Linked DNA regions of Caenorhabditis elegans. The protein of the gene in region 2 purifies or fractionates together with the protein of the main gene of each other region. This does not show direct contact. Each region holds a gene or a part of one and is shown on either strand. Other genes may lie near its edges.

Region 1 (5,552 bases), on a different chromosome or scaffold from region 2:
ATAATTTAGTAAACTATTTTTTGTCAATTTTAATAAATAAATGCTTTCGAACTAACCAATTTCCGCAACATTGCGCATTGTGTGTTGGAATGCCCAAACGACGGCGTCGATGACTGTTCCAAGATCCTCTGGAGGCATTTCCATGAAAACCGGGAAGCACTCTTGAACCAAAGAAAGCACCAGCTCGAAGAAGTTGGTTCGATGCTCGGGGAACGCTTCCATATCCTTGTTGATCATGTCAATGCTGCATTGGAAAACCGCACTGAGGATGCTCGGCACTTGTGGACAGAGGAGAGACTGAAAAATAATTTGATAAAGTTATAATTTTTGAGAAATTTTCGAAATTTAAAAGTTAAGAGTTGAGACGAATTTGAAAATTTTTCTTCAAGCCCTAAATTATTTTTATTTTATTTTAATTTTTTCAAAATTTCAAAAGATAACTGACTCCAAGTTGTGTGACCAGAATGCTGAGCAAAGACAACACTTTCGGCTCTCTCGCCTGTGGCACATTCTTCTGGTAATCGAAGAGAACCGCATCGAACAATGGTGGAACTATACTGTCCAGAATGAGCTTGGCATCTCCGTTCTTTGAAATGAATGTCGATAGAAGGATGAGAATCTCTCGCTTCACAGCTCGCATCGTCTTTACCAATGGATTCTTCAAAGCCTCTTCGCCGGCGGTTGTCACTGCTCGGGACACCTTCTCGGATAGAATTCTAAAAAAATTAGGTTTACTAACAGAACTTCTTTTTTTTTTAATTCTCACTTGTAGAGGGATAGAAGATCACTGTAGATATTTCCGAGTTGGGTTACAAACGAAGATCCAATGGATTTGCAGGCGGCCACATTTGTTTTTAGTATATTCAGGACAGATTTGACCATCTGAAATTTGAATAAATATAAAAGCCAACCCCTTAAAATAAATTACCTCCGGCTCTTCGAGCACACTGTCGTTAGTGGATGCTGCTGCAATGATGTCGTTCCATGTGCGATTTGGGATATCCATAAGCTTCATGATCAGGTCTTCTTGCAGATTTCCATCTATCTGCGCAGAAATGATGTGTCCAACAGCCTCGTAGAATACGTGAACTTGTGCATGAGAAAGATCGCAGATGATTCCAGTCAAATTTTCGAGCATCTCTTCGACGAAAGGCTTATTCTCAGCTGGTTGGACGATGACGAAATGCCTCTTACATTTTATGGAAATCTTGATGAATGTATCACAAGCCATGTCCTGTACACCTTCATGAGTCTCGTGCATGAACTCGAAAAGCTTATTGATAACCGTCTTCAGGAACTTCCAGTGAGCTCGAAGGAATCTCGGGTACTGTCCGACAACATACATGATGTTTGACGCAATCACTGCCTTATTGTCCTTTCCACGTTTCTGTTCACAGAGCCCGAGTAAATCACGAATAACAAGAACAAGGAATCGCTTTTCGTCTTCTTCAACCATCGTTCCAGAAATCGAACCAACAGCCCAGCACAAACGATTCAAATTCTTCCACGAAAACTCTCCTCCGTTCACTTGTGATGCCAACTTTTCAGTCATCTTCACTTCAGTGTCCTTGTTGTCAAGATGAGTCAAATAGACAAGCGTTTCACGCATGTTACGGTACAAAGCAATCGAATCAGTATCTTTGACCATTTCACGAACAACTTCTCCTTGATCATTTTCCACAATCAACACCTCTTCTGGCTTTGCCATTCGAGAAATCATTGTTGAACGAAGTTGCGAGAGGTATTCACGGTAGAGTTGACGACGTGGATGCTCACGAACCTGACTCATCATTCCGTAAAGAGTACTTGGCTGAATGAATGGACATATACGGTAGAGCTCAGCAGTCAACCAGCACCAACAATCGAGGCAAACTTTGAAAACCTCCATTTCTTCGATCAAAGTGATTTTCAAAAGAAGTTGAATAGCATAGTCGTGAGATTCTCGCATTAAAATTTTAGCCTCAGTTAATGGCTCATCAGTTACTTCAATCAGATGAACGTGCTCTTTGATGAACGCGACAAGAAATTGAGCCAGACTACTGATGAGTTTCTGATCCTGATCGGAAGCATCTTTGTAGACAGCAGCCAGGTCGAGGTCCAAAGATAGAACTTGGCTAATGTGGCGCATTGTAGAGCAGAACATTTTGACAAGCTTTTCGTCGTAGCTGGGATCGTTGGTTTCAACTTGAATTTGTGAAATTTCCGTGAGACATTGAAGAGCGATGACACGATACACTTCAAGCGAAAGGAAGTTTTCAGACAGCAATTCCGTGATGTTTGTCTCGAAAACGTAGCCAACTGGAATCCAGGTGAGGAATCGTTGAAGAGTCTTCAAGGTAGCTTGAACCATAGAGTTGGATGGACATTTCTCGAGAATGCTGACACACAGTGTGAATACTTCTTGGAACTGTCCACAGAATTGTTGTTTCAGATGTTGTTCCTTGGCTTGGGTGAGGTTTTGGGATCCGAAATCAAATACTTCTTCGCTGAAAAATATAATAAATGTAGCAAAACATTTTAAAACTAATTCAAAATACCTCAACAAGCTCAGAATATTCATATTGTTGATGCAAACGGTCTCGTTGTTCTTCGATGAATCAACAATATCGGTGATGAATGTTGGCCATGCCTTTGGCCAATCTTGTTTGACAATTTGAACCAAAACGAGGTTCAACTTGTGAAGAAGCAGTTGACTTTGTTCCATGACACTCTGATCAGAAGACAATTCGAACATTTTGGTGATGATGTACGACTTGATTCCTTCACGTTGGACTTGTGGCAACGACTTCCATTTGTGTTGGATGACAGTCTCAAGGATTTGAAGTGCAAAATACTTGGACTCATTTAGCTGCGAATATTGAAGAATCGCATCGACTTTGGTCCACGAATCGCGTTCTTCCTTGAGCGACATGAGGATTTGGTTAGCCTCGGCCTGTTCTTTTCCGCTCATTCGATTCATAATCTCGACGACTTGATCCAAAAGAGTCACATCGATACGGTCACCTTGGGCGAATTGACGCTTCGCTTCAGAGAGCACTTCCATTGCTGAGACAGCCATGTTTTTTTATTGTCGGTTTCTGAAATTGATAGCATTTATTGACCAACACTATAAATATAAAATAACTTACCAGCGATCAAATTTCGCAAAAATCGGCAGTAGTTTCCAGTTCAGTCTCACACACTCACGCACACACAAAACTGGCGGGGTTCAGGCTCTCGCTTTTCGGGCAGAAATCCTGTGTTTCTCACAGTGAAGCTGGAAAATTAGGCCAAAATATCGTTTCACTCGCACACACACTCTCACGCTCTCTCACACAACCGACTGTTGACGATGGGACGATCGATCTAGCCCAGTTCTGAAAATAAGAAAATTATTTTTAAATTTGCAAACCAAAAGGTGTAGAAAATATATGTCAAGAGAGGGAAAAAATATTGACCTAAAGTTTGACAGAAATAAATTCAGAAACGGAAATTGGAGATGGGAGAAGACGAGAGATATTTCTTTCATCATCGTCACTTTTGACAGTCAAATGTTTCGAAATTACTGGATTGATAAGGATCTATTCAAGACTAGGAAGTGAGAAATGCTGAATGCAAAAGTTCGGCCAAACAAATCTCACTGCGAAAAATATTGTGTGCGACCTTGCTGAATTGGGACAGAGCGCGCGATGTTATTGTAAGCAACGGTAAAAAATCGATTGAGGACACCTCGATGAGTGCACCCGTCCCGCTTTGTCTTGTCACGTGATGTGCATGACTTGCGCCCTCTCTTTACGTTCGGAAAACATTGAAAACAAAGCGTAGGAGCTATTGAGGAGGGGTCATGTGATTTTTTTTCGCATGTTTACTTGTTTGCAGATACATGAAGACAGGAGAAGAAATTGAGAAACGGAAGGACCATTCTGAATATTTTTGGCCGAGACGCGCGTCGAAAATGTCGAAATGAGAAAGATTGAATGAAAATAGAAGCAACAAAATCGCCGCACGTGACACACTACACACCTATTATTTGCTATGAGAACGGAAAAAAAACAGCGGTGAAGCAGATTTTACGTGTGAGAGACAAAAAACGGAAGAAGTGGGAGAAATCGTCGGATTCATGCTCAGCGGCCATCCCAGTTTTTATCACAAGACACGCGCCGGCGCGCGCGGGGAAAGTCTCCTCGCGGCCTTTCCTGTTCGAATTCATCGCAGACGCAAAAGAGTACGATGGAGCGCATTTGACAAAAACTTTCGCGGCTGTTGGGTACTCGCGGACCTGATATTTCTGTGTTTGGTGAGAACGGAAACAACGAGTAAAATGTATTTTACTTACTTTTCGAAAGTAGATATTCACAAAAATAAAATGTGCTGTTAAATTTTTAAGTACATCTTAACGAATTATTTCGAAAATAATTTGATTGCGAAATTAAATTCATGTTTATACGCTGTTGTTTTCATCGTTCTTGTGATTTTCAGAAGAAAAATGAAGCCAAACTTGAGAACAAAGCAAGAAAAAATGTTGATAATTTTCGCTAAATAAAATTATTTCCCTTGAAATAAAAATTGGCGTCTAAACTTATCGGGAAACAAATAAAATGTTGAAAAGAAGGCAACCAAAAGTGAGGAATATTTGAAAAAAACAACCGTATCACCTATTTCGCTTCGAGACCTGTGAACGGTTTTCTTTGCATGCGCCTTTAAGATTATGATAGAAAACATTATTTTTGTTTTTGTTTTCAGTACTGCAGTTTTATGGATTCAATTGACAACTCCACAACAATAATAAGGAAGAATTTGAACCGATTCATACGAGAAGTGAGTTTTGGAACTAAAAAACAAAATTATGCGAAAGTTTTCAGCTGACAGATGATGGAAAGTTGGACTTTGAATCAATACCATATCAAAATTTGCAAAAAGAAGTGGCAAATCAGGACGAAGAAGGCTGCGAGAATGTGATAGAAGTATTGCTGGATACTACAAGCGTAAGATTCAAGATTAACATTAGAATTAATTAATTAAAACATTTTAAGAGATCAGGATGTCCCGATAGGAAACTAATTCTGCAACTGTTCAATAGCTTCTTCTTACAATTTCCAATATTTCGGGAAAATCTACTCAATGATCCATCAGTGAGTTTTGTGAAAGCTTAAATTAAACTAAAAAATTAAATTTCTCTAGGAATTTCTCGAATTAATGTTCGAAACAAACCCAATTCGTAACCCACTCCCTGGTTCGAAAAAACATGGAAATGAGCTGAAAGTCGAAGCGATAACAGTGATTAAAAGCTGGGAAAAGGAGAAGTGTGTGAAGAACGATGCAAGAATGAAATGTTTGGTGGTGACGTTGAAGAAGACAAAATTTGTAGACTATGAAAATGGAGCTAAGAAAATTGAAGCGGAAAGAAAACGAAAAAAGATTTTGGAAGAAAGAAAAATGAAAATGATTGAGAATGTAGGTTGGATATTTAACACATATTTAAAGAAATGTTAAAACTTTCCAGTCAGTCAACGTCTATTCTTCAAAATACCACGAGATAAAAAACGATGCGGAGACACTGTCAATGGAACTCA
Region 2 (5,483 bases):
GAAAATTGATAGAAAATAGTGAAAAGGGTAGCAAAGGTCCAAAACAAAACGTGCAAACAAAGAAATACAGAGATGAGATTTCAATTTCCTGAAAGTCGAGCACAGAAGCCAACTTAATGAGAATCTGACTGACAACGTCATCAGACAAATTTTCAAATCAAGTTGTTGCAATAACAAAAGAGAAAAGGATTTTGGATTCTTTATAGCTACTATTATAATGTTGTCAGTTGTGTCAAAACAACCAAAGAAATTAGATAGATATCAGATAATTTTCAGTCAAGAAGAAATTAGTCGCTTTTTTTCGAAATTATTGTTTATTAGAATAGTTTGTACCAGCAAGCATATTCTGAAAATTTTAAAAAGGTCAAACGGTAGCTAACATACAGGCATTTACTGCACTAAATTTTTATTTTAAGAGGCGACGAGAGAATTAGGTGCCTTCGCTACGAGATATTCCCGCGCCAAAAACAGTAGGCATTCTCATGATCTCATGGTTTCTTAATAAAACATGGTGCAATATTGAGTTACAGTAACTCGGTGTCCACGTGTCAAAACCCGTGCACTTATGTAAGCTATGGCGAAAAATGCTCATCTTTAGATGCCTATATAATAGCATAAAGGTTGCAAAACAACTACCAATAATTCAATGAGCCATTAGATTTCGCATAATAAAGTGTTGAAGTTACGCAAATGTATCCAATTTTTCATACTGAAGACAATTTGAATATATATTTAGAATCTGGGTCAAAAGACGACGTGTACTCATCTTTGGAGGTTTTTGCTCCGAGCATGATCCGAGAAGGGCGGTCCCTTCCGGCACCCAATTAGACTCGCTTTCAAAGCCGTTGTTGTACTAGAGAATTGAGATATCTATGAGGGAGTTTTGGAGATGTAGCTCAAAATTCCAAAAAATAAAGGGAAAATTGGAGGTGGATTAGGAGCCTATTTGCATTCAAATCGACTCGTATAATGAGCAAAGGAAACAACATAAGTGGGTAAATAGCAAATATTAGAAGCTCTCTGAAAATTGAAAAAAAAAACGAAACCAAGAGTGTACATTGTTTCACAGATACCCATTGATTTATTTGTCCTTCCAGGAAACGTTTACCATAAATGGTGAAACGGATTATAAAACAGTGAGTTCACATGATAAGAGAACAACATAACTCAGGCTAAAAATGAAAAATTTTTGGATTCCAATATATAGCAGAACTAATAGGGGGTTTTGAGAAAACATAGAAGTTGGAAATCAATCCAGGGATAGAGTGAAGTGTTTAAACGTCGTTGTGCAACGACGTTTCAACAATTCTCCATTTTCACAGAAGGGAACTCTATCCCTTTCTTACATGACTGATGCTACTTGACAAAAATGAAATGATAAAAAAAACAGAAAAATTGATGAGAATGTTACTGGAGAACAATCGAATTGGCTACCGGGAAACGAAAAAATAACAAAATAATGCTACAGAGACAAAACAAAACTGATATAAAAGTTGAGAATAAAACCAAATAATTTAATTTTTCTTGGCAATAATCAAAGTGTGCTGATCGGAAATCGAAGCCCCGATAATCGAATAACCGTCAAGATGGGCGGAGCTGATCTCCTCTGGCTTGGACACCATCTGGAAAATAAGATTGAATATTTTATTTATTGATAGTTTGAGTTTTGAAAAATTACCTTCTCGTCTTCGTCTTTCAATCCGAGACCAAGTTGTCCGGTAGTATCAAAACCCCAAGCGTAGGCGGTTCCATCCTCAGACCAGGCGATAGAAGTGGCTAGTTTGGCAGAAACACCAACGATCTTCGAATCGAATTCTATTTCCTGGATTGTATCGTACAACCAATGCTGTTGGTCGTCCTTTCCAGTCCAATTACCGAGGCCGAGAGCATTGTCTGTGTTCTTTCCCATAGCAAACACTTTTCCATCACTTCCGAGAATGACGACATGCTGGACTCCTTCGATATTAACGAATGTTCTTTCTGCTCCAAAAGCTGGGGCTTCTGCTGGAAGAAAAACCCGAAGCTCGCGGTTGTCCTGTCCGTCTTGTCCGACATCAGCTTCGTCAACTTTGATACCGAGTTGAGCATAGTTATTGAGTCCGAAGGCGTAGTATTTTCCGTCTTCTCCGTGGACAATAGTCCAAAATCCACTGGCGAACACGTTTTTAGCAACAACGTCAAAGAACTTTCCTTTATGCTTAAATCTGAGGGGCACGAGTAAATGATCACCAGATTCATCGCACATGTACTCTGAAATAAAAGTAATCTGTGATGTATTTTGAAACATTAATTCATAAACCAAACAAACTTATGAAAAATCTCACTTGAACGAATAGTTTTGGTACGACTACTGCGTCCTAACTGTCCCATTTCTCCATCACCGAACGTGAGAAGGCAGCCCTTCTCATCCAACATCACGAGATGGTTCTCGCCAGCTGCGATCTTCACAATTTTACGTTTAGCTTGGTGGACAATAACCACCGGCGCTTCTTGCATCTTATGAAGGAGTGGATGAACATCAACGTTTCCATTGGAGTTGCGAAGATTTCCCCAGGCAATTACAGATCCTTGATCAGTGAGAGCAGCGGTAAACGAGGCTCCAGCGGCTAGCATTACAATCTGAAATAATATTTGAATAGAAACAATAATAAGACAGCATACAAACCTTTCCTTCCTTCTCGATATCTTCCTCGAACTTTACTTTCGCAAACTCGTCGGTACTTCCTTCCTTCTCTACACCTTCCGCGGGAACAGTTCCCTTTTCGTTGATACCGCACATATAAACTTCACCCTCAGAGGTAAGTACTGCTGAGTGAACTCCTCCTGCGACGGCTTGAAGTGGTTTTAAACCTTCTTCTTCAAAAATATCAACTTTCCGTGGCTTTTTTGTGGTGGTTCTTCCTGGGTGACCCAGAGCTTCTCCTTCTCCGCACGACAAAACTCGATCGCCAATAATAGAAGGAGCGAACAGGTCATAAGTTAGAAGTGGTGCAACCAACTTAGCTGAAAAATTATTTTTATGTTGTTGTTTCAGAAAATATATTTGAAAAACCAACAAACCTTGTTTCCGTCCTGGAGTTTTAGGCTCATTAAGGGTCGAGTTCATCGTACTATTAATAGTGGTGTTTACTGATTCACTACCCTTACGTTTTCTACCTCTTTTGCCTGGAGTTACAGCAGACTCTGCGGCAGCAGTAGAAGTAGATGGTAATTTTTTTGGGCGTCCAGCTCTCCGGGGAGTTTTGGGAACATTGTCGACGATAGAGTCTGATGCTTCAGTTTCCATGGCAGCAAGTTCAACTTGTTCGGTAACCTCTTCGTCTTCTCCGTGATTTCGAGCACCCGAAGCACTCGACTCTGGCTGATCAGCTCGTGGTGTCTGAAAATCAATAAATATGACGAAATTGTTGATTTACGAAACCAACCTTATTTCCTTGTTCGTTTACATTATCGTTCGGGAGTTCTACCTCTGAGGTGTCCATTCTTTGCTCCGCAGTTGACATTTCTGAAAACAAAAGAATAATATCGAAAGTTGATGAAGGTAACAATTTCCTGTCAAGGTTAAGTTTAGGAGAGTAACAAGAGATGAAAAACTTGGAGAGACACCATGTTCTGAGAAGATACCGATAGAAGAAATGCAACGGGTGTGCGCAAATGCGCAAAAGGTATTTTAAAAAAAGATTAAAGAAGAATGATTAAAAAGAAGTTACTTAAATTTAAAAAAATAAATAGATGTTTACAAAAACGAATGAATTTTGTGAGGAGGCGGAGCTACTTTTGAAATTTGCAATGCGCGCACGCAGTTTTGCAAGGCCGCTCCACGGAGAACAATGTTCTCGATATATTTCTCGAGTAATTCGTATCCTGCGAATAAATTGAGGGTAACTTGGTTTTCAAGTTAACTGGAACATATTTAGCATGAAATATATAATTGTTGGTGGTGGAATTGCTGGAGTTTCGTGCGCCAGTCAAATGCTTCAGTTAGAAAGATCAGCGAACTTGGAAGTAATTATAATCTCCGCGTCAAGTTTCGTGAAGTCTGTGGAGAACTATCAAAAAGTAAGTTGATGAAAACATTTAAGTTTAATAATTATATGGAAATTTTCAGATCGGGCAGTACGGAGAGAAATTTGACGTAAAAGAGACAAATTGCCACGAGCTCTTCCCAGATAGTAGAATTCGATTCTTGAATGACACAGTGGTTACGTGGGATTCTTCAAAAAATGAAATTCATCTGCAAAACAATGAGAAACTGAAATACGATAAACTGTGCATTGCTACCGGATCTCGTCCTAAATTCCAAAAAGAGTTGGGAATTGATCGCAGGATAGTGTTCTTACGAGATACACAGAGCGCGATTCAATTGAAGACTAAACTAAAAAATGCAAAAAATATTCTAATTGTCGGAAACGGGGGAATTGCTACTGAATTGATCTTTGAGCTTAAAACGTTCGACGTGACATGGCTGATCAAAGATCCTTGGATCTGTGCTTCGTTCTTTCCGGAAGACATCGAACAATTCATTGAAAAACGATTGCTGAAGGGACGGATAGATGGTTCGTTCTCGAGATTTCATGTATTGCGTGCTCATCTGAAACTTCAGGTAATAAGCATGACGGACAACAAAAACATCTTCAACATGTAGCTGCTTCTGAATCTGTCTCTGAAAATATGAACAACCCTTCTGGACCAGCGTTGGGTCCCGACTGGTGTTCTCAAATAGACTTTCAGAAAATTTCGGAAAAATCTGAAAACCGATCGGTGACTATCTTGCGTAATTGTGTTATAACAAGCACCGATACGTCCCAAAATTTGTCGGTACATTACATGGATAAAGAAAAGATGGTATCATTTTAAGTTATCGTACCATTAAGCCTAGTTATTTTATTAAGGCAGATAACCAGCTCAATCCAGATATTTTTATTTGGGCAGGAGGTGTAACTGCCAACTCAGAAGTCTGGGCTATGAATAAAATGCTCCAAATCACTGAAAATAGTGGAATTAAAGTCAACGACGCTTGCGAAACCTCACTTCCTAATGTTTTTGCATGTGGAGATGTTTGTGCACTGACTACCACAGAACCATCAACTCTTTGGCAACAAGTTTTATAACCATAGATTGAGTGTTAAATAAAGTTGAAATATTTTAAGAGACAATTGTGGACACAAGCACGTCAGCAAGGAGAAGTGTGTGGAAGAGCGATGGTGGCAGGCGTCGAAGAGGCTCGTATGCAGAATATGTATTTCGAACTGTTCTCGCATTGTACGACTTTTTTCGGGTTAAAGGTGAGATAAATAACAATTTGCATGGTAATTGTCGAATTTTATTTCCAAACACTCATGAAAAAAGAAAAATAAATAATACAGTCAAATTTTTTTGCGTGTAGTTGGAAACTGTTAACGATAACGAAAATTGGTAAATGAGACCACAAGAAACAGAGGTCGATAATTTAGGGGAAACAATAGGCATTTTACTCCATCAGC

What was found. Proteins that work in one complex are often made in the same cells at the same time.
Region 1: the proteins of ran-3 (region 2) and xpo-1 fractionate together in Caenorhabditis elegans (co-fractionation; one large-scale study listed by BioGRID). This does not show direct contact.

What each region holds. Positions count from the first base shown.
Region 1 is NC_003283.11:7,802,868-7,808,419, reverse strand, and holds the start of xpo-1 (Importin N-terminal domain-containing protein), read right to left. Parts: upstream 3,357-5,552; 5' UTR 3,129-3,356; intron 3,078-3,128; 5' UTR 3,059-3,077; coding exon 2,538-3,058; intron 2,487-2,537; coding exon 929-2,486; intron 883-928; coding exon 767-882; intron 717-766; coding exon 446-716; intron 298-445; coding exon 57-297; intron 54-56; exon of another isoform or gene 2-53; coding exon of another isoform or gene 1-1. Other genes in the region: ZK742.3 (NADH:flavin oxidoreductase/NADH oxidase N-terminal domain-containing protein), read left to right, coding at 1-1; uvs-1 (UV-stimulated scaffold protein A homolog), read left to right, coding at 4,735-4,797, 4,842-4,964, 5,013-5,111, 5,161-5,433, 5,483-5,552.
Region 2 is NC_003280.10:8,321,548-8,327,030, forward strand, and holds ran-3 (Regulator of chromosome condensation), read right to left. Parts: upstream 3,506-5,483; 5' UTR 3,504-3,505; coding exon 3,426-3,503; intron 3,380-3,425; coding exon 3,061-3,379; intron 3,004-3,060; coding exon 2,666-3,003; intron 2,620-2,665; coding exon 2,325-2,619; intron 2,251-2,324; coding exon 1,679-2,250; intron 1,623-1,678; coding exon 1,515-1,622; 3' UTR 1,065-1,514; downstream 1-1,064. Other genes in the region: C26D10.3 (Pyridine nucleotide-disulfide oxidoreductase domain-containing protein 1), read left to right, coding at 3,919-4,059, 4,109-4,556, 4,604-4,845, 4,893-5,102, 5,151-5,285.